Oryctolagus cuniculus: one gene and its partners. The main gene of each other region encodes a partner of the protein of the gene in region 3 in a complex. Links are inferred from orthologs where the notes say so. Each region holds a gene or a part of one and is shown on either strand. Other genes may lie near its edges.

Evidence for each region.
Region 1: the proteins of UBE2E1 (region 3) and TRIM21 are in contact, whole or in part, in a crystal structure (PDB 6FGA), measured with the Homo sapiens proteins. The link is inferred for Oryctolagus cuniculus from reciprocal best matches to the Homo sapiens genes UBE2E1 and TRIM21. Residues at the interface, in NP_003332.1 of Homo sapiens: Lys43, Lys50, Arg51, Lys54, Pro107, Phe108, Asn138, Trp139, Ser140, Pro141, Ala142, Thr144; in NP_003132.2 of Homo sapiens: Pro17, Ile18, Cys19, Leu20, Asp21, Glu38, Cys39, Gln42, Val43, Pro52, Arg55.
Region 2: the proteins of UBE2E1 (region 3) and SETDB1 are in contact, whole or in part, in a crystal structure (PDB 8IYA), measured with the Homo sapiens proteins. The link is inferred for Oryctolagus cuniculus from reciprocal best matches to the Homo sapiens genes UBE2E1 and SETDB1. Residues at the interface, in NP_003332.1 of Homo sapiens: Asn125, Ser126, Gln127, Val129, Cys131, Leu132, Lys136, Asp163, Pro164, Leu165, Val166, Gly167, Ser168; in NP_001138887.1 of Homo sapiens: Glu868, Gly869, Tyr870, Glu871, Ser872.

What each region holds. Positions count from the first base shown.
Region 1 is NC_091432.1:62,637,047-62,647,067, forward strand, and holds the start of TRIM21 (E3 ubiquitin-protein ligase TRIM21), read left to right. Parts: upstream 1-3,679; 5' UTR 3,680-3,838; intron 3,839-5,149; 5' UTR 5,150-5,197; coding exon 5,198-5,605; intron 5,606-6,410; coding exon 6,411-6,506; intron 6,507-7,589; coding exon 7,590-7,820; intron 7,821-9,213; coding exon 9,214-9,236; intron 9,237-10,021. UniProt on the Homo sapiens protein: E3 ubiquitin-protein ligase whose activity is dependent on E2 enzymes, UBE2D1, UBE2D2, UBE2E1 and UBE2E2.
Region 2 is NC_091438.1:47,128,464-47,137,747, reverse strand, and holds part of SETDB1 (histone-lysine N-methyltransferase SETDB1), read left to right. Parts: intron 1-575; coding exon 576-732; intron 733-829; coding exon 830-988; intron 989-1,908; coding exon 1,909-2,550; intron 2,551-3,213; coding exon 3,214-3,330; intron 3,331-8,014; coding exon 8,015-8,184; intron 8,185-9,058; coding exon 9,059-9,284. UniProt on the Homo sapiens protein: Histone methyltransferase that specifically trimethylates 'Lys-9' of histone H3. H3 'Lys-9' trimethylation represents a specific tag for epigenetic transcriptional repression by recruiting HP1 (CBX1, CBX3 and/or CBX5) proteins to methylated histones.
Region 3 is NC_091435.1:159,708,956-159,718,858, reverse strand, and holds the start of UBE2E1 (ubiquitin-conjugating enzyme E2 E1), read right to left. Parts: upstream 4,555-9,903; intron 4,308-4,554; coding exon of another isoform or gene 3,882-4,307; intron 3,796-3,881; coding exon of another isoform or gene 3,716-3,795; intron 3,644-3,715; 5' UTR 3,612-3,643; coding exon 3,460-3,611; intron 1-3,459. Other genes in the region: basic salivary proline-rich protein 2-like, read right to left, coding at 3,716-3,795, 3,882-4,307, 4,555-5,145. UniProt on the Homo sapiens protein: Accepts ubiquitin from the E1 complex and catalyzes its covalent attachment to other proteins. Catalyzes the covalent attachment of ISG15 to other proteins. Mediates the selective degradation of short-lived and abnormal proteins.

The DNA of each region.
Region 1 (10,021 bases), on a different chromosome or scaffold from region 3:
GTTAATCCTCCACCTTGCGGCGCCGGCACACCGGGTTCTAGTCCCGGTTGGGGCGCCGGATTCTGTCCCGGTTGCCCCTCTTCCAGGCCAGCTCTCTGCTATGGCCAGGGAGTGCAGTGGAGGATGGCCCAGGTGCTTGGGCCCTGCACCCCATGGGAGACCAGGAAAAGCACCTGGCTCCTGGCTCCTGCCAGGATCAGCGCGGTGCGCCGGCTGCAGCGGCGGCCATTGGAGGGTGAACCAGCGGCAAAGGAAGACCTTTCTCTCTCTGTCTCTCTCTCTCACTGTCCACTCTGCCTGTCAAAAAAAAAAAAAAAAAAAAAAGAAATACAAAAGTACTGTCAGTGAAGGCTATAAGTGGCAAATTTGGTCTTACAGTTCCTACCTTGGTAATTTTCTGTAACAGTTATGCATATGTTGTGTTAATGATCTATGTGCACATTATTAGCCATACACTAAAATAACCTTGTAGAGTATGCATTAAAATCTCTGATAAGGAAAATGGATAGGCAAATAGCTGGTAAGTAGCAGTGTCAGCAATGATGGTACACCTGCCTTATTATGAAACCTATGTCTTTACTACCCCTCCTGTCAGTAGCTACTCAATGCCTGCAGGAAACAATACAGGGTTTTTAGCAATCCTTAAGATTTATGTATTTGAAAGGCATAGTGACACTCTGGCCTCAGAATCAGCCCTTAAGGCATTCAGATCTGGCTGAAAAGCCCATGAGAGTATTTCAGGCATGGAAAGCCAAGACACTCTGGGGAAAAAAAATGACCTAAATGAAAGATCTCTGAGTGAGATCCCAGTGGAAAGAACAGGTCATCAAAGGAGGAGGTACTTTTCTCTGAAGGGAGGAGAGAACTTCCACTTTGACTACAATCTTGTCTAAATATGATCAGAGTCAGTGAACTCAAAAGGCTTCCATAGCCTTGGCAACTCATCACAAGAGCTTAGGGTGATTACTGATGCCATAAACAAGAGTGTCAATTTGTTAAGTCAACAACAGCAGTCACTGTGCACTTACTCCCCATGTAGGATCTTTGTCCTTAATGTGCTGTACATTGTGAATTAATGCTATAACTAGTATTCAAACAGTATTTTTCACTTTGCGTTTCTATGTGGGTGCAAACTGTTGAAATCTTTACTTAATATATGCTAAACTGATCTTCTGTATATAAAGAGAATTGAAAATGAATCTTGATGTGAATGGAAGGGGAGAGGGAGCGGGAAAGGGGAGGGTTGCGGGTGGGAGGGAAGTTATGGTGGGGGGGGAGACATTGTAATCCATAAGCTGTACTTTGGAAATTTATATTCATTAAATAAAATTAAAAAATAAAAAAATTAAAGGCATAGTGACAAAGAACTTCTGTCCCCTGTTTCATTGCCCAAATGCCCATGATAGCTAGCCAAAGCGAGGCCAAGAGCCAAGAACTCCATTGGGTCTCCCACATGGGTGATAGAAATCTGACTATTTGGGCTTTCATCCAGTACCACATTAGCAAGAAAGTGGATCAGAAGTGCTGATTAGTAGTGGGACTCGAACCAGGCACTCTGAAGGATGTGAGCATCCAAAGAAGTGACTTAACCCACTATGCTATAATGCCTATCACCCAGAGTTATTTTCTGAGAGTCTAAAAGCTCTGATACAGGTCTCTTCTTGCTTGATTTTTAAAAAAGATTTTGAGAGGTAGAGTTAGAGAGAGGGAGGGAAGGAGGGAAGGACAGACAGAAAGGTCTTCCATCTGCTGGTTCACTCCCAAAATGGCTAGCTGGAACTGTGCAATCTGAAGCCAGGAGCTTCTTCCAGGTCTCCCATGTGGGTGCAGGGGCCCACAGACTTGGGCCATCTTCTTCTGATTTCCCAGACCATAGCAGAGAGCTGGATCAGAAGAAGAGTAGTTGGGGCACGAACCAGTACCCGTATGGGATGCCATCACCTCAGGCAGAGGCTTAGCCTACTACAGCACAGTCCTGGCCCCTCTTCTTGCTTTAGATTTTTTAAACTGTTTCCATTCTGTTTTCTGGGACTGTTTAGTCAAATCTGAGTACAGTGGCACCGTCTGACCATTAAATGTCACTTGATAGCCTTTCACTGAATATAAGTTCTGAAAAACCACTGAAAATTTCAAAGTATGAAGTTTTTTAGGTTTCCTAAGTCCATAATAAATACTAAGGAAAGTTCAACTGATATTTTTATTTTAAGTTATAAGGGACCAAAAATTCTGAGTTAGGATTGGGAACTTTCCTGGCCTTATCACTCTTCCTTTTTTCTCTTTTGCAGTTTCTGACCATGCCCCTATTAGCTGTTCGCAGCTTCTGCTTGAACCAATGCAACAATCTGTTAGCTCTATACTGCCCCTAGAATGAGGGTCTTCCTGCACCTTCCACAAACATGTATCAATGTTTTCAACGTCACCTCAAGCAAGCTGCTTCATCCATTCAGCCTCAGCACCCCTCCCCTCACATAAACCATAATAACCCTTAATCTGCCAAATTATTATGTGACTTACATAATATAACCTAACATAGCAACATTATTCTCAATAGTCAAAAGGTAGGAGGAACCCAAGTATCCAACATCAGACAAATGGATAAATAAAATGTACATACAATGGGATGTTCAGTCTTAAAAAGGAAGGAAATCCTGACATGTGATACAACATGGATGAACCTTGAGGACGTTATATTAATGAAATAAGCCAGCTGTGAAGGTACATATTCTAAAGCTGATTCCACTTATATGAGGCACCTAGAGTAGTCAAATTCATAGAGACAGAAAGCAGATGGTGATTGCCAGGGCCTGAGAGAAAGGAAATAGTAAGTTATTGTCTGGGTACAGAATTTCAGCCTGGGATGATGAAAATGTTCTGGAGCAGATGGTGGTGATGGTGCCACAACAAGGTGAATGCACTCATTGACATTCAATGGCAAACTGAAAATGGTTAAGGTGGTAAATGTCTCATATTAAAATAACATACTGTAGAATAGTGGTTTTTTTTCTATTTAACCCTACACTAAAGAGTTAATCTCATGAGTTATACAGTAAACTGAAAGATCATCCTAAAAATTGAGGGAATAAGAGGAAGGAGGGAGAGAAGGATGAGAAGTATCACTAGGTTCCTAAATCTGTAGATGAGTTACATGAAATTTGTTTTATCTTAAATATCAAAAATAAAAATGATATAACCTGAAAATATCCTTAGCTCAATGACAAGAACCCAGCTGGTGCTCAATAAAATGTCAGCTCCCTTCCTACCACTGCCCCATGTGATATCCGCCTCAGAGTCCTGAGGAATAAATCTCCCACCCCTGGAGGTCACCAGAAACATGAGTCCGATGGGAAGCAACTGTTTCGGCTGTCAGGAAGCAGGTGGTGGAGGCCTGTGAAGGAGAGAGCCAGGCATCCTTTGCATCCAAACCTCCTGAATAGCAGCTCCCAGAGGTGCACATAGCATTCAGGTACGAGGTGATGGCCGGTGTCAAAGCATCGATTTTTTTCACTAAGATAGATGACAAGGACAGGAGGAGGAGTGTACGCCCAGATGACATGTTGCTGAGGTTTAACTGGGCTGTGACAACTCCCCCGGCTTGGCTCTGTCTTCCCTCCTCCCACTTTTCTTTCTCTGCCCTGCTCCTTCTCCCCTACACCCGGTCATCCCCTGCCTCCGCCCTGACCCCGCCCAGTCTCTGCCCTGTCCCTCCCACCACCCCTCCCTCATCCTCCTCCCTGGGGCCCCTCCCCTTTCTCCTCCCACTCTCCTCCCTTTTCCGTTCAGACTGGCCTCTTAGAGGAAATTGAAAGTGAAATAGAGAGCTGTTGAATCGCCTGATCAGGTGAGTGAACCCGGCAGGACCACAGTACCCCTTCTTGCCTGGGTGGGGGAGGGTCTCTCTCCCCTGCCTCTGATTCTCTCTTCCAGCTACTCACTAACCCTAGAGCCTTCAACCCCACTGGCCCCGACTCGTTCAACCCAAGCCCAGCCATTCTTCCAGCACTGGCCGGTCTGCCTGAGAGGAGGCTGGGCTGAGTGTGACTTACAAACCACAGGGATGGGTGGAGCTCAGGCTGCTGTAGTGCAGGTACCTGAACTGGGCCAAGGGAAAAGGTGACCCTGGGTGTAAGGGAGCTGGTGGGTGCCCAGAGGAGCCCCCTGTGGAAGAATCCTCACTCTACTAAACTGGTCCCCAATCTCCTGCTAGAAAGGGAAAGGGCAGGCTGTTTAGGGTGTTCAATTAGAAACTTATTTAGGTTCAAGATTCTTTGCCCTAGAGGAAGTGCACAGACATATTCACATCTGTAGCAGAATATTTCAAAGTTAATGGAAATGGAATTTACTTTTGGTGCAAAAAATTGGAAATCCATGCACCCATTCGTAGTATACATTTTCTGTGAACTTTTTGAAGACCCCTTATGAATTTTTTAAGATTTTATTTTATTTGAAAGGCACAGTTGCAGAGGCAGAGAGAAAGACCGCATGCTCTTCCATCTGTTGGTTCACTCCCCAAAGGCTGCAGTGGTGGAGCTGAGCTTATCAGAAGCCAGGAGCCTACTGTTTCTTCCAGGTCTCCCATATGGGTGCAGGGGCCCAATGACTTGGGCCATCTGCTTTCCCAGGCCATAGCAGAGAGCTGGATCGGAAGTGGAACTAGCACCTATATGGATTGCAGGCAGCGGCTTTACCCACTATGCTACAGTGCCACCCCCCCCATGAATTTTTATGTATTTCATATATATGGGAGTAGAACAGAGAGAGACTCTTGCCATTATATTGAACAGTAGTGAAGATATTATACAAAGCACATAGCTCCTCTCTGACACATAGAAAGCACCTGGTAAATGACTGCTCATACTATGATTACCTCCTCCAACCTAGGCTCTGAGGATGTAACCCAGATGGACATGATGAAGTAGAATTGTCAGCAGACTTATCTGAGTCTCTCCCCCGTTTTCTCCTCGTTGGAGGACTCTGTCTCCCTTCTTCCAACAGGATCACTGGGCCAGACTGTGGAGGAGAGGCTCCTGCTGTTTGGGTTGATGTTCTTGTCTTCTCTTGCTTGGCACCACCAGCTCATCTTGTTTTCCTTTGCATTATTGTGTTCCTGTCATGCAGATCTCTTCTTTTCTGTTCCTTCTTCCCCCACCAGAGCACCCCAAGGTCTGCACAGTGCTGCCCAACAAGGACTGTCACTCCCATGGCTTCTGCAACGCCCCTGGCAATGATGTGGGAGGAGGTCACATGTGCCATCTGCCTAGATCCCATGGTGGAGCCCGTGATCATTGAATGCGGTCACAGCTTCTGCCAGGAATGTATCTCTAATGTTGGGAAAGATGGGGGTGGTATCTGTCCTGTGTGCCGGAATCACTTTCTGCTCAGGAACCTCCGGCCCAATCGGCATCTAGCCAACGTGGTGGACAACCTTAAACAAAACAGCCAGGCTGCCAAGGATGAGCCACAAGGGCAGCGGTGTATGATACATGGAGAGAAACTTCACCTGTTCTGTGAGGAAGATGGGCAAATCCTCTGCTGGGTGTGTGCCCAATACCAGAAACACCGTGAGCACCACACAGTCCCTATTGACGCGGCTGCTCAAGAGTACCAGGTGAGGCCTTCGCAGAGACATGGACAGATCCAAAGGAGAGGGGCTGGGTGAGTTTTGTTACCTCTGGAGTTCAGAGGTTGGGAAAAGAGGGATACTTTCCTCCTTTCATGTCCAGTCTAAACACAACCTTCTCATTAGAGTAGTGGATACACTCTGTGCAAATGCTATGAAGTCCATGTTTCCTTGTGGACTCCTGATAAATTAGGTGTGAGAAATGCCCTCATCCTGCCATGCCAGTAGTTCTTTTTTTTTTTTTATTTTTTGACAGGCAGAGTGGACAGTGAGAGAGAGAGACAGAGAGAAAGGTCTTCCTTTGCCGTTGTTTCACCCTCCAATGGCCGCCACGGCCGGCGCGCTGCGGCCGGCGCACCGCGCTGATCCGATGGCAGGAGCCAGGAGCCAGGTGCTTTTCCTGGTCTCCTATGGGGTACAGGGCCCAAGCACCTGGGCCATCCTCCACTGCACTCCCTGGCCACAGCAGAGAGCTGGCCTGGAAGAGGGGCAACCAGGACAGAATCCGGCGCCCCGACCGGGACTAGAACCCGGTGTGCCGGCGCCGCTAGGCGGAGGATTAGCCTAGTGAGCCGCGGCGCCGGCCAGTAGTTCTTTTTTGTAAGACGCATGATTTGGGCTTTTTCCACAGTCTGCCTATCCACCAAATGCCTACCCTAATCAGACCCCAGTCCTCCCTCCTTCTCTGTGTTTAGGCTTTATTGAAGAACCAGAATGATCATCTCCCACCCCAAGCCACTCCACCCTACTTCTTGGTTTCGTTGGGATTAACCTGTTACTTTGTTTTTGGCAGGAAAAGCTCCAGGTGGCATTAAAAAAGCTAAGATGCCAGCAGGAGTTGGCAGAGAAGTTGGAAATAGATGTTGCAATGAAGAGAGCAGAGTGCAAGGCAAGAGACACTTCTTGATGGGGTGGGGGGGGGTCAGAAGGCTGGGCAAAGTCCAGGGTCCTAGTATCAAGAAAGCCTTAACCTGAGCTATGTCTGAGAATGATAATTGCCATATCACACCCTCTGGGAACCAGCCATCCTCTTAGTCTCCAAATAGAGAAGAAAAAAAAAAAAAAAAGGAGAGGCTCACAGGAGAACTCCCAATCAGGAACAAAGAGAATTATTGAACAACTGTTCTGCGAGGGCCAAGCTACATCCTAGGGCTCCCTGCTCCTCTGAGCCCAGACTCAGGGTATGTATGACAGCATCAGAACCTCAGTGTCTGGAGCAGGGGTATTCCAAGAGAGAAGCCCCACTGCTATGCCTTTAAGGAGATGAGAGGAGCTACAAGGAGCAGACCTCCAGGATCCATCCAGGCCTGAGATGGAAAAACCAATCTGAACAGGTGGTGGCATCACTGTGCCGAGGCCACTGGTTGAAAGCATAATGCAGAAGTAAAGCTTGTTCACCACTGGTGACTTGCTAGTACAGGGGAGGTGTGAAGAGTGAAAGGAACTCGAGGCTAACGGGCTCCCGGAAGAGAGGTCTGGGAGTGGGGAAGGGTAAGTCAGGATTTGGTGGCACAGGGGGCCATCCTACATCATGAGCTGACCATCCAGTTACCAGCAGGAGAAGGTGAGCAGAGAGTGTCCCAAAGTCACCCTCTGCCAGGACTTGGGAATAGCACTGTGAGCCCATCTCTGTGAAACCTCTGGGAATGGTTGAATATCAGATATGACTGATATTCAAACACAGATCTGGGTGATAACTGCCTTTTGGAATAGAGGTTGAAGAACATCTCTGATACTAAAGGTTGATGCAGCTGGGGTGTAGGCCAGCGACAACATGCCAGCACCAATCATACTCTGTTTAGTCCCCAAAGCCTCACCCACCTATCTCCTCAGCAAAGGGTGTGTGTGTGTGTGTGTGTGTGTCTGCCTATTCACTTGAGTCTCCAGGTGACAGAAATAGGTTTCAACTTCTACCCCCAAAGCCTGGGAGATTTTCACAGAAACCTCCTCTATCTTTCCCTGGACACCAAAGACAAAGGTTGAGATGCACAAGTCCAGGATTCATGCAGAGTTTGTGCAGCAGAAAAACTTCCTGGCTGAAGAGGAACAGAGGCAGCTGCAGGCACTGGAGGCAGAAGAGAGGGAGCAACTGAGAATCCTAGGGGAAACAGAGGCTGACCTGGCCCAGCAGAGCCAGGCCCTACAGGAGCTGATCTCAGAACTAGAGCGGAGGAGGCGGGGCTCGCCGCTGGAGCTGCTGCAGGTGAGACTGGGAGTTGGGCCCAGAGAATAAGCGAAAAAAGCTAGAACTCTGTAGCTACCATTAACCCAAAGGCAAACCTGGTGTCCGTAATATTCTCATTTAAAACAAACTGGAATTTGGACCCATACATGGTTTGCATTCAATCTATAGAAGAGCCCAGAATTAGGAGGGAATGGTCCATCCGGCAATTAACAGATGTGGACATCCCAGGTCAGTGTTCATTCTAACACGTACCAACTATGAAACCCTAAGAAAGTTCTTTCATCTTTCTGAGCACTGGGTTTCTCATATTTTAAATGGATATTTGGAACTGGCATTGTGGCACAGCAGGTTAAGCAACCCTCTCTGATACTGGCATCCCATATGGGCACCGGTTCTAATCCTGGCTACTCTACTCCAGATCCAGCTCCCTGCTGATGTGCCTGGGAAAGCAGTGGGAAACTACCCAAATCCATGGGAGACCTGGACTTCTAAGCTTCTAACTTTGGCATGACACAAGCCATTTGGGAAATGAATCAGCAGATGGAAGATCTCTCTCCTCTTCCCTCTCTCTGCAATTCTGTCTTTCAAATAAATCTTTTAAAAAATGATGAAATCCACTAAAGCTCTTATATAAGTGTCTACCCATGGGAAGGTTTTAATAAATGTGATAGAACTGAAAACAATGAATGGAACATTGAGACTAGCTGCCAAGTCTCCATTACTCTAGGTTAGGTCATTTTCCTTTCCTGGACCCAATACATTTGCCTCACTTTGGGAAACTGCGGATTAAATGGTCCCAGAAGTCCTTTCTGCTCTAACGTTCTTACCATTCCCTTCTAGTGTGAAAAGGCTGATTGTTCTGACTTGACTTGACAGGCTCTCTTTCACCCGACTTTCAAGTAGGCTTCAAGTACACTCTTGAGTGGGCCTTAAGACAGTCAGTTCCCATGTAAGGGCTCCCACAACCCCTGCAACACAACATTCTAGAGTAATTCAATTTCATACACAGGAATAGGTAGCCAGCACAGCATTAACCAACCAGCCCTCCCTCCCAAACAGCTCAAGCCCACAGGGAACTAGGATGGTTTCTGGGCCTCTTATCCCAGCCATTCTCTCCCTGAGACTGCATGGGCTATCTGCCCACTTGCAGCTGCCTCCCCGCTTTGCCCTCCCCCTAAGAATATGGTCTTTCTATTCTGGTTTCTGAGTCAGTCGTCTTTAACACCCCTGCAGTGTTTCTGGTTACCCCAGAAGCATCACATGTCCTTGATGCTTCAAGCTAGTCAGAATCCTCTTCGGAGCCTCAGCCCAGGGCAGTGAGGCAGAGCAGAACCCCAGACACAGGCTGCTATCACATCACCCATGGGACTGAGGTCTTGGCAGTGAACTTACTCTCTGTCTTTTTTCTTAGGAAGTGACAGTTGTCCTGGCAAGGTAAGAGGGGTTTTATTTATTAAAAGAGGGGGCAATATTCAAGCTGATTTACCTCAAACGGTAGAGTTAGAAACATACCAGGGGATTCCAATTCAATCCCATCAAGGTGGCATGTACCAATGCCATCTCACTAGTCCCAGTGATCAATTTCTGTTCACAATTGATCATAATGATAGGACTAAGAACCAAAGGGATCACAGAAACAAGAATAGTGTCTGCAAATACTAGCTGATAGAATCAAAAAGGGAGAGAATGATCCAACATGGGAAGTGAGATACACAGCAGACCCATAGAATGGCACATGTCCTAAACAGCACTCTGGCCTCAGAATCAGCCCTTAAGGCATGCGGATCCGGCTAAAAAGCCCATGAGAGTATTTCAGGCATGGAAAGCCAAGACACTCTGGGGAAAAAAAAAAAAAAACCTAAATGAAAGATCTCCGCAAGTGAGATCCCAGTGGAAAGAATGGGCCATCAAAGAAGGAGGTACCTTTCTCTGAAGGGAGGAGAGAACTTCCACTTTGACCATGGCCTTGTCTAAAAATTATCAGAGTCAGTGAACTCAGGGGGCTTCCATAGCCTTGGCAGCTCATGACAAGAGCCTAGGGTGATTACTGAGGCCATAAACAAGAGTGTCAATTTGTTAAGTCAACAACAGGAGTCACTGTGCACTTACTCCTCATGTAGGATCTTTGTCCTCAGTGTGCTGTACATTGAGATTTAATGCTATAACTAGCACTCAAACAGTATTTTTCACTTTATGTTTCTGTGTGGAAGCAAACTGTT
Region 2 (9,284 bases), on a different chromosome or scaffold from region 3:
TGTCTACTCTGCCTGTCAAAAAAAAATTTAAAAAAAAAAAAAAAAAAAAAAAAAACCAGCAATATACTAGCATCTCCAGTCACGGTATATGGGAATTGAGTCTTCATATACATTTAATGTTTCTTTTTTTAATATTTATTTATTTATTTGAAAGTCAGAGTTAGAAAGAGAAGGAGAGGCAGAGAGAGAGAGAGAGAGAGGTCTTCCATCCGCTGTTTCACTCCCTAATTGGCTGCAACGGCCAGAGCTGTGCTGATCTGAAGCCAGGAGCCAGGAGCTTCCTCCAGGTCTCCCATGTGCATGTAGGGGCCCAAGGACTTGGGCCATCTTCTACTGCTTTCCCAGGCCATTGCAGAGAGCTGCATTGGAAGTGGAGCAGCCGGGTCTTGATACTGGCACCCATATGAAATGCCAACACTGCAGAGGCGGTGACTTTACCTGCTACGCCACAACACTGGCCCCTTAATGTTTCCATTGCTGCTTTTTGTACTGTATAAGTTGAGAATCAGGTGTGTGAATGAGAACAAGTCACACAGCTTTCATCCTCTCAGCGATCAGTTTCCTTTTTCCTGTAGGTGCGGTGAGAAGTAAAGGCCCTGTTGTCCAGTATACACAGGATCTGACCAGTACTGGGACCCAATTCAAGCCAATGGAGCCCCCACAGCCTACAGCCCCACCTGCCCCACCCATCCCACCTACTTCACCTCTGTCGCCTCAAGCAGGTGACGCTGAGTGAGTGCTATTTCTTGTTTTTTTTTTTTTCCTTCAGTTTCTTTCATATTACATTTCCTGCATCCCTTACTATATGATCTATTCTCGAATCTCCTAGAAGCTTGGAAAGCCAGCTTGCTCAATCACGGAAGCAGGTAGCCAAAAAGAGCACATCCTTTCGACCAGGATCTGTGGGCTCTGGTCATTCCTCCCCTACATCCCCTGCACTCAGTGAAAGTGCCCCTGGTGGGAAACCTGCAGTCAACCAGACGTATAGGTGAGAAAAAGCTTGGGTTGTCAGGGGGCAGGTTGGCGATATGAGCTGAGTAGAAAGTCCTTGGCTCCAAGGGGGTTAGGTTAAGGGTGTGATGGTAAGGAGTTTGGACTTAAAAAGGAAGCTTTCGCTTTAGAAGCTTTTTAGAAAGTAAGAATAATTGAATTAGGAACTTGGTACCTGGAAATATGTAATCACCAGTAGGCTTTTAATAAAACTTGTGTTTTCTTTTTTAAAGATTTACTTATTTAGTTGTTTGAAAGATAGCTACAGAGAGAAAACAAAAGGGGAAGGATCTTTCATCTGTTGATTTACTCCCCCAATGGCCTGGGTTGGGCCAAGCTATCACCAGAAGCCAGCAACTCCATCCTGGCCTCCCATGTTGGTGGCAAGGGCCCAGACACTTAGGATATCTGCCAGTGCCTTCCTAGATGTGTTAGCAGGGGGCTGGATCACCAACAGAGCAGCTGGGACTCTTAACTGGTGCTCTGATAGTGGATGCCAGTGTCACAGGTGGTGGCTTAACCCACAGCATCACAATTTCAGCCTGTTTGTTAAACTTCTTGCTATCATTGCTGTAATAGAAAGAAAATACTGTAGTCTCTTTCCTTGAATCCTAGGAGCTATTAAGGACTTTGGTAGAAGACTGACTTCTTCTTCCATAATTCACGGGCAAATACATTTTAGGAAAAGGTGTACTGTTGAAAGAGAGAGAGATAGCTATCAGTCAGTGACAAGTAACCAATTTTCATTATTCAGGTTTGTTACGGCAAGGCAAGATCTGACTTTCTTGTGTCATCATTAGTGTTAAGGGCACAGCTACTTAAAAGATGAAAGAAATGGCTTCGCGAGCTGGAGGGGTATTTATACAGTACGAACACCCTGGTTGCCTTCTTACCTCATCTTTTGCATCTCATTTGCAGGTCACCTTTAGGTTCATCAGCCTCTGCCCCAGCACCCCCGGCTCCTCCAGCACCCCCAGCACCCCCAGCACCCCCAGCCTTCCATGGTATGCTGGAGCGGGCCCCTGCAGAGCCCTCCTACCGTGCCCCCATGGAGAAGCTTTTCTACTTACCTCACGTCTGCAGCTATACTTGTCTGTCTCGGATCAGACCTATGAGGAATGAGCAGTACCGGGGCAAGAACCCTCTGCTGGTCCCACTACTGTACGACTTCCGGCGAATGACAGCCCGGCGCCGGGTTAATCGCAAAATGGGCTTTCATGTTATCTATAAGACACCCTGCGGCCTCTGCCTTCGGACAATGCAGGAGATTGAACGCTACCTTTTTGAGACTGGCTGTGACTTCCTCTTTCTGGAGATGTTCTGTTTAGATCCATATGTTCTTGTGGACCGGAAGTTTCAGCCCTATAAACCTTTTTACTATATCTTGGACATCACCTACGGGAAGGAAGATGTTCCCCTATCCTGTGTCAATGAGATTGACACAACTCCTCCACCACAGGTGGCCTACAGCAAGGAACGGATCCCTGGCAAGGGTGTTTTCATTAACACGGGCCCTGAGTTTCTGGTCGGCTGCGACTGCAAGGATGGGTGTCGGGACAAGTGAGTTGGTGGAGGAATTGCTGCTCCTGCCACAGTTTCTTGTGGTTGCCTTTCTTTTCACTTCTTTTGCTTTCTGTCGGTATTGCTTTCTCCACCTCCCTTCACCTCCTTCCTCAGCAGGAACTCCAGCCTTAAGGCCACCATGAAAGCTGTGAGGTAGGGAGACTGAAGTCCAACAGGCCCCAGTGAGTAACCCCGGGTACCTGTGCTTTATGTTGTTTCTGATTTATTTATTTATTTAAAAGGAAGGGTGACAGAGGAGAGAACTTCCATCTAGTTAACTCCCAAAATGGCTGCAGTAGCTGGGGCTCGACCAGGTAACAGCCAGGAGCCAGGAACTCCATCTTGGTGTACTATCAGGGAGCTGGACTGGAAATGGAGCAGCTCTGAAATGGAATGCTGGCGGCAGCTTGACTCTCTGTGCCATCCTGCTGGTCCCTGTTTGCTTCTCTGATTCTCCCCCTTTTCCTGTTTCTCTCCATCATACTTCCAGTTGCCACTTTGTTTCGTTCTGTCTCTGTTTTATTCTCACTCTGCCTGTTTGTTTCATTCTATCTCCTTGTCTTTCTCTGTTGGTACTCTGAGAAAAAAAGAAATTTATTACTACATCTCCATCCTTTTATTATTTCTCAACACTGTAGTTGTCATATCCTTCTTACACAGGTCTAAGTGTGTCTGCCATCAGCTAACTATCCAGGCTACTGCTTGTACCCCAGGGGGTCAGATCAACCCTAACTCTGGCTACCAGTACAAGAGACTAGAAGAGTGTCTGCCCACAGGGTAAGTGTCAGGGGATTGGCTACCTCAGAGATTGAAGAGCATTTTCTTATTTTTCTGTGCTTAAAGGAACCATCAGAAATATAAAAATTGGAACAAAAAATAGAATACAGAAACAGATATTTTATTAATTTTAAATTTATATAGCATGTTTTTTCTTTTGGCTTTCTTTGAAATGAGAATATAGAATGATTGAGTAGTATCTAGTAATTTCTTGTTGTGGGAAATGATCTTAATTTCATAGCTGTATGAATGCATTAACCAAGTGTGATTTACTATAGCAAGTGAAATGTGTTCAAAGAAGTAAGCAGGGATTTGATTATATAGGGCTTTGTAAGCTAGAATAAAAAATTAGAATCAAGTTTATGGTACAGTAAGAAGGATTTTGGAGGATTTTAAGCAGGCAAGTGATGTGATCTGCCTTTTCAGGGTGACTCTGGCTCCTTTGCAGAGCATATTTCTTAGGGCAACAAAAGCAGGATTTGCAAGACAGGTTAGGGGATGATTACAGGAATATAGGCAAGGGAAAGGTAGTAGTGAGTGGAGTTTATACTAGAATGAAGGTGGCAGTGGAGATGAAAGATTTGGGATGCCTTAGGAGGTGAGCTACAGAACTTGGTAGATGGACTGGCATAGGAGGGAAGGAATGGAATCAAGGACAATTTCTAAATTTGCTTGAACAACTAAGTAGATGTTGTCACCTTTTACTGAAGGATGGGTGTCAGGACAAATGAGTTGAAATTTGAGTGAAATTCAGCTTTTGTTTTGGTCATCTTAAATTTTAGAAACTTCTTGGGGAATCTAAGTGGAAATGTCAAGAGGCAATGGAATTTTCTGGAAAGAGGTATGGGAGCTGGACAAAAAGGTTTAGTGATTATCAGCACAAATGTAATATTTAAAGCTTGCACGTGTTCCCCTGGAGAGAATGTTGACAATAGAGAAGGAGGCCCAGGAATAAGCCCTGGGTGCTCCAACATTGGGTGGGTGAGCAGAGGAGGTGAGGCAGCATGAGAGACAGAGAAGGACAGGTCAGAGAAAGGACAGACAACAGAAGAGAAGGAGGTGTCGTGGTAAGTTGGTGTATATGAACATGTGACTAACAGATCCAGTGTGCAGATATATAATTAACAGAAGAGGAGAAAAGCATTGATTAAATAGTTTAGAAATTTGGTCATAATTGAAAAGTGTGTAATTCCCAATTTAAAGGGCCAATGAGGTCTTAGCATAATAAGTGTAAATAAATTCCACTGAGATAGGAAAAAAATGAGAACACTGAGGATAAAGAACAAATCCTAAAAGCCTCTAGAAGAGTGAAATAGACCACATTAAAAAATAGATTTGGGGGCCAGCGCTGTGGTGTAGCGGGTAAAGCCGCTGCTTGCATTGCCAACATCCCATATGGGCGCTGGTTCAGATCCTGGCTGCTACACTTCTGATCCGGCTCTCTGCTATGGCCTGCAAAAGCAGTGGAACACGGCCCAAGGTCTCGGGCCCTGCACCTGCGTGGGAGACCTGGAAGAAGCTACTGACTCCTGGCTTTGGATTGGTCCAGCTCCAGCTATTGTGGCTATTTGGGGAGTGAACCAGTGAATAGAAGACCTCTCTGCCTCTGCCTCTGCCTCTCTGTAACTTTGTCTTTCAAATAAATAAATAAATCTTAAAAAAGTTTGAAATTCTAGCCTTTCCAAAATAACACAGGAAGCTAGAGGGCAATTAATTATTCAAAATTCCAAAGGAAAATTATTTCCAACATAGAATTCTAAACTCAATTGTTAAAATAGGCTAAGGATATTTTTTAGATGCACTGTAAAGTTGTTCATTATTTTTCTTTTCAAAAAGTACTAACAAAAGGAAGGGAAGAAAAAGTTACTGGCCATATTTACCAAAATGAGGAGAAAAACCCAAGAAGAGGGAGGTATACAGTTCAGGGGACACAGAGTACAACTCAAAAGAGGAGCATAGGAAATCCCCCCAGATGATAGTGGGGGGAAGGAGGACATCCAGCTGACAGCCTATAGCCAGTGCCAGTGCAGGAGAGCAGGGATCTCAGAGGAGATTGAGACTACTGCGGAGACGGGGTGAATTTGTGTGAAATATATAGACAGCTAAGCAAGGGAAAGACAGTTACTAATTTTAGATTACTGGTTTTTTTTTTTTTTTTTTTAATGGATTGATTTGAAAGAGTTACAGAGAAGCAAAGGCAGAGAGAGAGAGAGCTTCTATCCACTGGTTGGATGGAAGATCCAAAGAAGATCCCCAAATGGCCGCAACAGCCAGAGCTGCACCTCTCCAAAGTCAGGAGCTGCTTCAGGTCTCCCACGTGGGTAGCACTTGGGCTGTCTTCTGCTGTCGAGGGCCATAGCAGAGAGCTGGATCAGAAGTGGAGTAGCCGGGTTTTGAACCAACACCCATAAGGGATGCCAGCGCTGCAGGCAGCAGCCCCTTTATATTTTAATTTTAAATTCTGTATCTTACAATAATGCTTAGATTTCATAATGCTGGTAATTACATGGTGTTCATTACATCTTTTTTACATGTTTAATGCATAAAATTTTTTAATAACCACAATGTTACTCCCCTGCTTAAAAACTCTTAAATAGCTTCCCACTGCATTTGGAATTTTATTCTCTTAACCGTGGGTTATAAAATCCTGTACTACCTCCCCTCCCCCATCCTCACTCCTTCCAGAGTTGCTCCAGCTACGCTGATGTTCTTCAAGGTTCCTGGATTCAGTTCACCCCATGTGTCCCGCCTGCCTCTGGGGCCTTTGTACATGCTGTGCCCTCTTCTTGGCATCCTTCCACTGTTCTTTAACCTTGAGCTCTCAGTTTTAAACTCACCTCCTCAGAAACATCTTCCCTGGTCACTCTAAATCTAAGTTTCACCCCCTTAATTCTCTCACTGAACTTCATGTGTGTGTTCTTTATAGCATTTATGACAATTTCATTTGTTGACTGGATTTTCTCTTTTCCATTAGAAGGCAGAGGCTCTGTCTTGTTCACCATTGTATCACAGGAGCTAGCTTACCCAGTGTCTGGCACATGGTAATGGTTCCACAAAAGGAATGAAAGATACTTAGCATTACTACTCTGAAGAGTTATTGGTAGTAATTAGGGCTGGCGCCGTGGCTCAATAGGCTAATCTTCTGCCTTGCGGCACCAGCACACCGAGTTCTAGTCCCAGTCGGGGCGCCAGATTCTGTCCTGGTTGCCCCTCTTCCAGGCCAGCTCTCTGCTATGGCCCGGGAAGGCAGTGGAGGATGGCCCAAGTGCTTGGGCCCTGCACCCACATGGGAGACCAGGAGAAACACCTGGCTCCTGCCTTCAGATCAGCACGGTGCGCCAGCCGCAGTGGCCATTGGAGGGTGACCCAACGGTAAAGGAAGACCTTTCTCTCTGTCACTCTCTCACTGTCCACTCTGCCTGTCAAAAAAAAAAAAAAAAAAAAAAAGTAATTAGACCTGAGTTCAGGTTCTGGTCTTCCACTTTGGAGCTAATCCTGTTATCAGCTATAAATAGGAGATATTAATACTGACACCCACACTCTATCCCCAAAGGGTTTTAAATGACCTAACAGACTCTTTCTTTATCTGGTGCTGGTTAACACAGTATGTTTAGTCTGAAAATCCATTGACTATGAACTTTTCTGTATATTTTTCTTATGTATATTATACTTTGAAAATCTTCTTTAAAAACTTTTAAAAAATACCATTATAGCACTGCTTTGAAGATAGATAGAATAAGAGAGTGTAAATTATGCAATTTACATAGCAACAAAACAAAGTGTATGTTCAGTAAGTAGAACTGCTCTTACTGTCTTTATCCAGAAGGATGTGACTAATGTCATTAGCCAAGAAATTGTTTTATTATCCTCTTCCCAAAAGTAAATGTCTCCCTGCAATTTATACCAAGAAGTATAATCCTAACAGTGAGCAAAGCAAATCAAGCAGAAGCATTGGTACCCGTAACATTTCCAGTCTTATCAGCATAGCTGTTTTCTTCCTTTAATGTTCATATTTGCTAGATCCCTCTGATTAACTTTAATAGTTTGTTTTAAAAGTAATTAAGTTGTTAAATTCTTCAACTGATTAATTCCTTTAAGGTAGAGATTATGACCTCTTTGATTATTCCCAGTGTCTAGCACAACTATTATTATTTAATAAGTGTTTACTGAATGATATGATGAAAACCAACTTTACCAAAGAAAAGTCCCCATAAACATCCATACCACCTTCTCTTTTCTCTTTAGACATTATATGTGTGTGTGTATAATATATATATATTGATATATATATATATATATAAAATCAGTATATCAGCCTCTGCTTTTCTTACGTATCTTTATGCATCTTTTTTCTGAAAATTGACGGACTCTATATACTTATTTTAGTGGCTCTGTAATCTGTATTCACGTCATGGTTTTCTTAGCCTCTTTCCAGGTGTTAGGAATTCTGGCATTCACTATTAGAACACTGCTATAAACATCGTTAATTCCCTTCTAAGTTATTTCTGTGAGCTATATTCCCAAATAAATGAAACAGCATAGACAGTTCAGTAAATCCACTCAGATCATTACCTAATTTTTAATCTTTACCCAGGACACATTGTAAGTAATGATAGCTTAAGAATTATAACTGTTTTGTGCGTTTCTATTGCTCATCTCATGGTTGATCTTTCTAATCTCCCAGGGTATATGAGTGTAACAAACGCTGCAAATGTGACCCAAACATGTGCACAAACCGGTTGGTGCAGCATGGACTACAGGTTCGCCTACAGCTATTCAAGACACAGAACAAGGGCTGGGGTATCCGCTGCTTGGATGACATTGCCAAAGGCTCTTTTGTTTGTATTTATGCAGGTTGGTGATGGATATAAAGGTTGTTTCCTGGGTCTGGGATGTGGTGGGGAAATGAACCAGATGCAAGTTGAGCTTACGAATAATGTGCTGGACATGTGAACTGAGAGAGAGAGGAGCCAGGGCTCGCTTCTGTAGAGAACCTGTGGAGGTTCACAGAGAGGGACACAGGGCTTTGGAAAGACAGAAATAAAAAAGGGGTAATGTTTTAGACGTGATGATGTTCCAGGGGAGAGACATGATTGCAGAGTCCAATGTATTGTCCTCCCACGTTTCTCCACCCAAAGATTTTTTTTTTTAGCATGGCTGAGAACTGTTGTTAAAGAGGAGGAAATGGGCCGGCGCCGCGGCTCACTAGGCTAATCCTCCGCCTAGCAGCGCTGGCACACCGGGTTCTAGTCCCGGTCGGGGCGCCGGATTCTGTCCCGGTTGCCCCTCTTCCAGGCCAGCTTTCTGCTGTGGCCAGGGAGTGCAGTGGAGGATGGCCCAGGTGCTTGGGCCCTGCACCCCATGGGAGACCAGGAGAAGCTCCTGGCTCCTGCCATCGGATCAGCGCGGTGCGCCGGCCGCAGCATGCCAGCCGCGGCGGCCATTGGAGGGTGAACCAACGGCAAAGGAAGACCTTTCTCTCTGTCTCTCTCTCACTGTCCACTCTGCCTGTCAAAAAATAAAAATAAAAAAAAGAAGAGGAGGAAATGGGAGGACAGAGAGGACAAGATTAAAGCTACAGTAAAGGAGGTATCATCGAAGAGAGACACAAGAGACCAAAATGTAGGCATTTTACCTCTGTGCTGGAGCACTGGGTGTGGGTGGATGGACACTTAATCTTTCCAAAAGGGCCCCATAACCCTAGAAAGCCTTTAATTCTCTTCCTCAGGCAAGATCCTGACAGATGACTTTGCAGACAAGGAAGGCTTGGAAATGGGTGATGAATACTTTGCAAATCTGGACCATATCGAGAGCGTGGAGAACTTCAAGGAAGGATATGAGAGTGATGCCCCCTGTTCCTCTGACAGCAGTGGTGTAGACTTAAAGGACCAGGAAGATGGTAACAGTGGTACAGAGGATGCTGAGGAGTCCAATGATGATAGCTCAGATGACAA
Region 3 (9,903 bases):
TCGTTTTATAGGGTCCAACCCGCGCGCCCCGCTCCCGGCTCCTTCCCCTGAGCCTCCCCTCTGCCCAGAACCAAGTCCCGGGAAGGACGCGACCACCTCGGGCCGCCCTGCGCCGCTAGGCCCGCCGCGGTCCATCGCGCCCACCCCGGCAGGCAAAGGGTCCCAGCACCAGCCCGACCCCGACCCCGACCCCGGCCGCCCGGCGCCCTGAGGCACGAAGCCAACATGGCCGCTCCCAGCCCCCTCGGGCCCTCCGGACCTGGCCGCCGTGGTGCCGGGCGGCCCAGGCCGCGGGCGCGCCTCGCCGGGGAGCAGCCGTCGCCGCCCGCGCCTCGGCGCCCCGACCCGCGCGGCCCGGCGAGCCCACGCGGGCCACGCTCGGCGCCGCCCCTCTCCGCCCACCCCGCGGCCCACGCAGGTGCAGCGGCCGCGGCCTGCGCCGCACGCTCGTGCCGACGCCCGGGCCGCCTTAAGGACACACGGCCGGCCCGGGGGTGCTCCCTGGGCAGCGCCCCACCCCCACGCCCAGGCCAAGCCCGCAGGCCGTTCGCAGGGGCCTGGCCTTTGTCTCCGGCTCACCTACGAGCTAGGCGCATCAATGGTTTCCACAAAGTTTGGGGCCTTCGGGCGTCTCCCACCTTCTCCGCGGTGCCTATTTCTATAACCACGCGAGGCCCTACCTGGCTGTGTCACAACTCAGAAATCTCGCCCAGGGAAGACACGCGTGTGCACGCACACGCGCGGCGATCTGAATCACAATGCGTGCTTTTCTCTCCCCTAGGGTTTTCTGAGGGTAGGGAGAGAGGCTAGCTGCCTGCCAGGAGGCGTGGGTTTTCCAAGGCGCTGTCTGCTCCACGCTAAAAGCAGACAGAAATGAAAGGTGACAACTGGGAAGTTCTTGAAAGCTTCCTAATGGAGGACATTTCCTGTCCCCCACCCATCTGGTCAGCTTTAGAAAGGGGCAGCGTGTCCCGAGACAGCAGGCACCCCGGCCTCTCTCCTCCTCATTCAGCTGCTGCTGTGCGCCAGGCAACAGGTTCCTCCCCGAGCCCAGGGCATAGAAAAACACAGGGCTTCTTCACTTCTCGCCACCCCAACTCCTGCTATAAAACTTTCACTGAAGAGGTAGTTGCTTCTTTAATACCTAAAATGTGTGATGCGGGCAGCCCTATGGCCACTTCATCTGGACAGCCAGTGCTTGCCCATTTCCAGAACACGGTGCTGGCCAGAGATTAGCAACCCGCTTAATGACAGTGGCTCAGGCCACTGTCCGAGGGGGCCTTCCTCTGCCCTGGCGTGGAGACCACTTTCCAATATGCAGTTCGGCTGTAACCGGTTACTCTGCCAACCCGGGCTGCCTTCTCACTGTGCCTCCTGGTACTTGGGGCCCTACACCAACACCTCCCTTCCAAGCCCTTCTATTTCACAGAGCAGTTCTACAGGTTCTCACTAAATAACATCCTTCTTCCCCTCTTACTCTTTCCTAGATACACGGTCTCTCTCCATTTTTTATCTTTGGCTATTAACCTTAGCTCTGCTTTTAACACCAACAGCCACTTGGTCAGCAAGCTATCTTGGAGAGTTAAATTCATTGGAGGAAAAAAACAAAAGCCCTGATGTTAACTGATTGGAAATTACTATTTGCAGCCCCAACTGTCATCCCAGCCATTTCCAAACAACTTTTTAACAATTTCTGTCTACTGAAAAAAAATCCTCCTGTCACTACTGTTCACGGACCCAAAGCAGGGTATTTTGTATTTGACACCTGCCTTTACCCCACCCCCACCCCCAGGTATTCCAGGGTTTCTATATAGCAGGGATGTCCCACAAAATATAAAAACACTAACAACCTAAAGCAAATACCCTGCCTTGAGCAGGTCAGGGAACCTAAAGGCTTGGGGGAATGGGAGGAGTTAAGGAACGGCTTGTCCAGCCAGGCTCCCATCAGCGCCGGCCAGAGGCATCAAACCAGGCCGCTGACAATTAGAACCATCTTGCCACGGAACCCCAGACCCCCACGCCATGTAAAACAAGCACAAGTCACTCCCTCATCAGCCCATGGGTAAATCACCAAAACACTTGACCGAATTTTCAGTGACAGAACAAACTCTGCACGTACAAACTGCAGGCTCCCTCCTCAATGGACAGACCTACAGCCCCAGATTCCATCTGATTTCAGATTCTTTAAGTAAGGTGTCTGAACTCAGCACTTGGATTCCTGATAGCCACTTTAATGACCAGCCGAGAACAGGAGGATTGATGAGTGGGTGTCTGGGGGTTCCCAGGAACTTACTACAGATTATTTTAAGGGTCAAGGGCATCACGGGTATCACTCAAAGACAGCGACAGGGCTAACAAGTGGTCACCTCCAGAGACTTGAAGAAGAAACAGCCACTGCTTGGCTTCAAAGGTGAAGCAACATTTTTACAGCCTAAGAGCAAACAGCATGAAAAAACCATGCCTCCCCGAAATCTGGTAAGTAGACATTCTTAGTAGCAAAACTGAATCCTCAAAATAACCATTTTACAACCATTATTGATCCATTTGCTTCAACCCTCCAAATCAGAAAAATCTCTTTAAATTCCTTCAGAAAGCATGTCTTCACCTACTAAATCTTTTTTTAAAATAAAACATGTATTTATTTAGAAGGCACAGGAAGAGAGAGGTCTTCCAGCTGCTGGTTCATTCCCCAATTGCTGCACAGCCATGCCTTAGTCCAGCCCCAGGCCAGCAGCCAGGAACTCCATCTGGGTCTCCCACAGGGGTGGCAAGGACCCAGGTATTTGGGGGTCCTTTATCCACAGCCCCCCGGGAGCAGTAGCAGGAAGCTGGTGCTGAGACTCCATCCCAGGCACCCCAATATGGGATGCTGGTATCCCAAACATTATTTTATCCCACTTCGCTACAACACCAGTCCCATCTACTACCTACTTACCTACCTACCTACCTATCTATCTATCAATCATCTATCCATTCATCCATCCATATATTTTACCACCTAACGAGAGCCATTTATTCCTTATGCAATTTGTAGAGAAAACACTATTAAAAAATATCATCTGTGCAACAGGTGACCAAAAAGGAAAATGGTCCAAGAATTCATTTTGCTAAGAGTTGCCTGGGCAGCTATTAGTATGAAGAACCCGATGACAGCTTTGGGGAGGGGCACAGATTACTGATTAATAGGACAAGCCAACTGAAACCAGATTCGAGGGTCACCAATGAAAGTGATGCAGATTCTTCCAAACTTGAGCAAGAAATGGAGAGAGAGGCAAGCCGCCACGGTCGCAAGTGGACAATAATTAAAAAGAAAAACACAAGCAGCGAAAGCGACAGTCAGGAGGACTTTCAAGGCCACGTCTTTCATTTCGGGGGACACAGCCCCGCGCACACCGAGCCGGCCCGCATTGGGAGGCAGGCACTTGGAGACAGGGAGCCTGCGGAAAAGCGGGCACGTACCTCTTGGCGCTGGTGGAGAGGAGTTTGGAGTTTTTGCTCATGCTGACTTTACTCTCCTTCTTCTTGGGGGTGTTTGTTTCTTTCTCGGTTTGCTGGTTGGAGGACGAAGATGAGGAGGAGCTGGTGCTGGCCCTCGAATCGTCATCCGACATAGCGAACCCCCCACCCACCCCGCGAACAGCCCCTGCAGCGGGGAGGGAGACAGAACAGAAACAGACAAGCCATGCAGGCGGTGTAAACAAGGCGGCCGGTGCCGTCAGGGGCGCCCGGGCCAGGGTGCCCCCCGCCGCCCACCGCCCAACACGCGCTCCCCCGAAGTCCGCAGGCCCAGCGAGGCTGGTGCAAGTCGGACGCGGCTTGCTTGTTTTGGGCCCAGGTGGGGGCCGCGGGAACAGGGGTCTGGGGCCCAGCGAGCTGCCCACCAGGCCAGAAGGGGAAGCCGAGGCGGCCAAGCAGGGCCGGGCCGGGAGGCGAGGTCCGGAGGCGGCCGGCCTCGGGGCTGTTTTTGTCCGCTCTCCGGGGGTCGCGGGGGGTCGGCGGCCCAGGAGGCCGGGGCGGGGGGTGGGGGGAGGCCACGAGCGGAGTTTGGCGAGGTCGGGACGAGAGCAGGGGCGGGAAGGAGTGAGAGAGGAAGCCGAAACGGGGGGCCGGGGGCGGGGAGCGGGTGCCCGGGTGGGGGCAGGGGCGGCGAGGCCCGAGCGCCCCCCCACACACACACACTCCCGCGCCGCGCCCCGACGCCCCTCCCCGCCGGCCTGGCCCTCGGTCGCCCGCCCCCCGGGGCTGCGCAAGCCGGGCCGGGGTCCCGGGCACACGCCCGATCGCCCCCCGCGGAGGGCCAGGGGAGGCTGTGGGGGGGGGGGGCCGGCCTCCGCGGCGAGGGAATAACAATGCGCCCGTCGGCCCGGGAGGGGCTCCTCTCCGCCGGCCCCCGTCCTGGGGGCGGGGGGGGGGGGGACACACAGCGGGGCTCCCCCGACTCCCCCTCCCCCGCTCGCGGCCCCCTCGGCGGCCAGTGGGGGGCTCCCGGGGCCGCGCTGACAGTTCGAGCCACAATGCCCCCCCACCCCCCGCCCCGACGCGAGCGGCCCGCACCCCACGCGGCCCGGAGCCCCTGCCCATCCCCCGCGGGCGGGCCCCGGACCCCTGGGGGCGCCCCCGGCCGCCCCCCTCCCTCCTCCGGCCCCGCGCCCGGCGGCCCGGGCGGCGCGGGCGTCCCCGAGGCCCGGGCGGCGCGGCCGGGGGGCGGCGGACGGCGGGGGGGATCCCCGTACCTCTCTTTGTGTCTGGCTCCTCCGTGCCGCCGCGGCGGCTGCTGCTGCGGCTGCGGCTGGGCCTGGCCACTCGTGTCTCGCTCTCGCTGGGAGAGAAGCGGAAGTGCAGCAACAGCAACTATTAAACAGGCAATGGCTTCCCCCAGCCACACACGCTCGCGCTCCCCACCCCTCCTCCTCCTCGCCTCCTCCTCCTCCTCCTCCTCGCCCCGCCCCCGCCGGCCCGCACCCACCCACCGCGCTTCCCTGCCCCCCCGGCCAGCCCTCCGGGGGGCGCACAGGGGACCCGGGGGACGCCGGCCCCGCGCCTCCGCCGCGCGCCCGGGGAGGGGGCCACGGCTGTGAATTGCAAGTGGCCCGGGGACCCGGGTTCCGGGCGGCAGAGAGGTGGGGGCGCCGGGAGCGACTGGAACTAGACGGCAGAGGGGGTCGCGAGAGCAAGTTCTTCCCGACCAGAGGAGTTGGGGCGGGGTGGGGGGGGCTTGCTGCTGGCCAGGACTTCGGACCAGAGCCGACCCCGGGAAGTCCTCCTAAGTGAGGCGAGAAACCCCAGCACGGGGTTAGCGTGGGGTTGCTTCGCTCCTGGCCGTTTACCTGCCCGGAGCGAGGTCAGCCCGGGCACGCACGCCTGGGAGCAAACCCCAGCCAGGAGGTACCTGCTCCAGGCACGAGGCACGTGCGATTCTACAATGTCAGATTCTGCCAGTCACTTTTTTTTTTGGGGGGGGGGGTGGAAAGTGGTCCGGTTTTATAAAAGGGATACAGAGGATTTCGTGACAAGTGAGCCAACCTGTAACTGGGGAAATCACGCACGAACTGAACTAGACCGCACTGAGAATTGTTGCTGTCCGCGTGCGTTCAGGTATCTAGCCTGACTTAGGGAGAGTGGATGGAAAGTTCTGGGGACCGCTGGACTTGCTTGAGCTACAATATAAATGCTGTTCAAACCCTAGTTTTAGAATAATCACAGGCATCCTTCTAAATTGTTCCTTATTTCGCCTTTTTACCAAAAATCATTTTTTTACTGTCTTAAGCCATCAACGCGATTTGGCGACGTGGGTTTTGTCACTTCAGTTGCAGGGAACTGAAGAACTGTGTGCTGTCCAAACACAACAGTTGCTCGCACACAGGGTCTTGTACGTAGAGAGCCCACTTAGACTTCCGTGGGCCGCTTTAAATTATTCAAATTGCCCTCATTTCCCGTGACAACAGAGGCCTCTGTTACCAGAGGACAACACAAAACCTAAGGCCGGTGACATAGCCAGAAATCAGGAAAACAGGTCTACTCACCACGCAGCTGAACTCCTTTTAGCTTTATCAAGACTCATAAAGTAATTGTGCACGCTTCTTGCTCAATCCTTACCAGGAAGCGACCACAGCAGCAGCTGTTGGAGGTTCCAGCAGCCCAGAGCCAAAGGAACCTCACGGGGCCTTGATCAGGGTTTGGGAAAGATCCCCAGACATAACCTTGCTCAGTCTTTGGTTTCAAGAGCCGGGAAGAGCACATAAAACGCTGGCATTTGAAGACAAAAACAGGTTGTATGCTTTTTGTATTTCTGTTGAAAAAAATGTAGATTCAAAAGAAAACAGTGAGCAAACAGATGAACTCAGGAAAATCAAGGCTGTTATTAAAATCGAGATTTCCTCTTATGAACACTTGGAATTCCGATGCTCAAAAACACGTGTACATTATTAGTGCAATTGGTAAAATAATTAAATGTACAAAGAGGAGGACTGACAGAGATCACAAGAAAATGAAAGGTTTGATTTGCTGAAATGACCAGTGACAGATGAATTTTTTTCCTTAATATTGAGCTGCAGTAATCGTGTAGTTGGCCACTAAGTATAATAATTTTTTTAAAAAAAAACCTGCACATGGCATTTTGTTTTATCATTGATGCTTGGTTGGACTAGTCCCGGGGGAAATCATGGACGCTAAGGACTGCTCAACCCACGCTTTCTCACCCACGGGTCTGTAGACCCCAGCCCACTTTCCTGGACCATTCCCTCAAATACACACTTTTTTAGGTTAGTGCTTTATGGTTTTAGAATGACCTGCCAAGGGGGAATAAAAAAACCTCAAAGTGTTTAGAGAAGAATCCACTGCTCCCCAAAGACAGGTTTGTATCAGATTATTTTAAACATTTGGTTGTCTTGGCGGGGGGGGGGGGGGGGGGGGGGGGGGGGACTGCATTTACCACCTCTGGCTCTTCTACTGACGGACACAAGGCCTAGGGAGCCAGATTTCCTTATCTATAAAGATGCTGACCGGCGACATCAGACATGTATCTACATGAAGCTGTTTTATTCACTGGTACCCAGAGCTGATCACAGAGTCCACCCTGGTCCTACTCCTCAGAAATTCTGTTAGGACATGGAGTCTCTATAACTTAGAGTGGACAACAAGTACAGTATAAGAAACCTAGGGCCAGCGTTGTGGCACAGTTGTTAAGCTGCCATCTATGACGCCAACGTCCCATGGGGTCTCAGCTGCCCTGCTTCTGATCCAGCTCCCTGTGAATGCACCTGGGAGAGCAGTGGAGGGTGGTGCAAGTACTTGGCCCTCTGTACCCCTGTAGGAGACCCGGATGAAGCTCCAGGCTCCTGGCTTTGACCTGGCCCAGCTCCAGCTTTTGTGGCCATTTGGGGAATGAACCAACAGATGGAATCTCCCCCCCCCCCACTCTTGGGTGCTCTTCCTTTCAAATAAATCAAAGAAAGGAAGGGGGGGCAGGAAGGTTGGGGGAGAGACAGAAAGAGAGAGAGAGAGAAAGGGAAAGGGAAAGAAAGAGAAGGAAAGGAAGTGAGCCGTCCAGTGGGGCTGGGGCTGTGGGCCCCCAGAGGTGGGTAGAATGTCCTTCACAAGCAGGTAGCCAGCTGTGGCTACAAAGCCTGTCTCCAGACCTGGCGGCATCTCCCCTACTGTAGCTTCCTGTGCTGCCTGTGTGACCTTGTAGCTTTAAATCACGCCTTCAAGTTGCAATCTTCCACCGTGAACTAGCAGAGGGGCCTGAGCCCCTAAAGAGAGTTGGGCTGTCTCCAAGAGAGCCCCGCTACCTCCATGAGCCTCAAGCCAATCAACATACCGTATGTGACCCTTCCCCAACCCCTGTCCAACGGGCATCCCCAGAGAATGACCCAGTGAAAAGATAGCAATGCCTTAAAAACCCTGGGCACGTCCTCAAAGCCAGTGTCCTGCACGGGCACCCCGCCTGCTCTCCTCTCGGACAAGTTGCTTTTCTGTCGCCTGTCGATCAAATACAAGTTCTTGCTTCTTTGCAAATTGCTTCCCAGCTTTTTCTTTCTATACAGAGCTCAGGAAAAGAACCCACGAAACCCGCTCCTGCATCTGCCCTCCCCTCTGTGACCTGTGATAGGAAGGAAGGGAGGGAGGGAGGGAAGAAGGGAGGGAGGGAGAGAGGGAGGAGGGGAAAACCTTCCCTCCAGGAGAAAGGTAAAGGGGAGGAATCATAAAATCCTATTACTGAAAGGGGCTTCAGATGGGGAAATGAAGGGGAAGAAAGCCAGACATCTTTGGCAGGACTGCTTAGGACGCCACACTGTCCGTACATGATCTTGTCAATTCTGGCAGTACGATGTAGGGGAAGAGACTTCATTACATCAGAGAAAAATATACTCAATCTAAAAATCTCTGATAGGGCAGGCCTTGTGGCACAGCGAGTAAAGCCACTGCTTGCAATGCAAGCAGCCAAATCAGAGCGATGGTTCGAGTCCTAGTTGCTCCCCTTCCAATCCAGATCCCTGCTGATGCACCTGGGAAGTCAAGGCATGATGGCCCAAGTGCTGGGGCCCTTGCCACCCAGGTGGGAGACCAGCATTGAATTCCTGTCTCCTGATTGCAGCTTAGTCCAGCCTTGGCCATTGGGGCCATTTAGGGGGTGAATCAGAAGATAGAAAAATCTCTGTCTTTTCCTCTACCTCTGTCACTCTACCTTTCAAAAAAATTTATATATATACATATATATACGTATATATATATAATGTATGTATGTGTGTATAAAGAACTCTGACAGTATTTTCAGAAATATATTAACCATCATAAATTGGAATCATAGTTGGAAAAGTAGAAAAATGGAAGCAAGCTCATTTAACTTAAACAAATGATTCCTGGGGCCAGCATTGTAGTACAGCAAGTTAAGCTACCACCTGTGACACCAGCAGTGCTGGTTTGAGTCCCAGCTGCTCCACCTCTGATCTAGCTCCCTACTGATGTGCCTGGGAAAGCAGTGGACAATGGCCCAAGTGCTTGGGCCCCTGCACCCACCTGGGAGACCCAGATGAAGCTGCTGGCTCCTGGCTTCGGCCTGGGCCGGGCCTTGTGACCATGTAGGGAGTGAACCACTGGATGGAAGCTCTCTCTCTTTCTGTCTCTTCCTCTAACTCTGCCTTTCAAATAAAGAAATTTTTTAACAAAACAAATGACCCCTCTTGAAGTTCCCTGCTCCTGGCCCTGAGAATAATCCTCATTATTTATGTGTTTTACCTTTACAGATCTATTTTAAACAGGTAATCCATTTTTGTGTTATATTAGTCTAAAGAAAGCAGAAAACCAGGGGGTGTGTCAGGGAAATACGCTCCTGCCCCACCCTCGGTGTCCCTGAGAGGGAGGGAGGCCGTGACCCGTGCCAGCAAACGCACACACGCGTGTTACATGCCTTGATAGAAAAACGCCCCTTACACGCGTCTAGCCACGGAGGCCCAGGCCGTGTGGCTCAGCGACAGCCCGCGAGGCTTGAGAAAGTGTGCCCCAGCTTCCCAGCACCTGTTCCTGGTTCTCAGAATGATCCGACTCTCCTCTCAAGGCATCTGTAGTGCATCAAGTGCTCCGAAGTAGAAGCTCTTGAAGATCGGGGTGCTGGATTCCGGAGGAAGAGACCAGGTCTAACTTCCGACTTTGTCAGTTACACCGAAATGCCAGTACGGCCAAAGGAAACCAGTTTCACACTGAAGAACTGTCAAGCAAATTAACATTCGTTAAGACGGCTTTTGGAAAACTTAACCTTATGGCTGAATAGGAAGGAACTCCCTTTTCTCTCCATAGAAGGAAAAAAAAAATCTTGTGTTTGGAATTTTAGATGAATTTCTATAAAGCCTTTCGCGTGGTGGAGGGGGAAGGGCTCACGGGGAGTTTCAGCCCTTTGTTTCATTT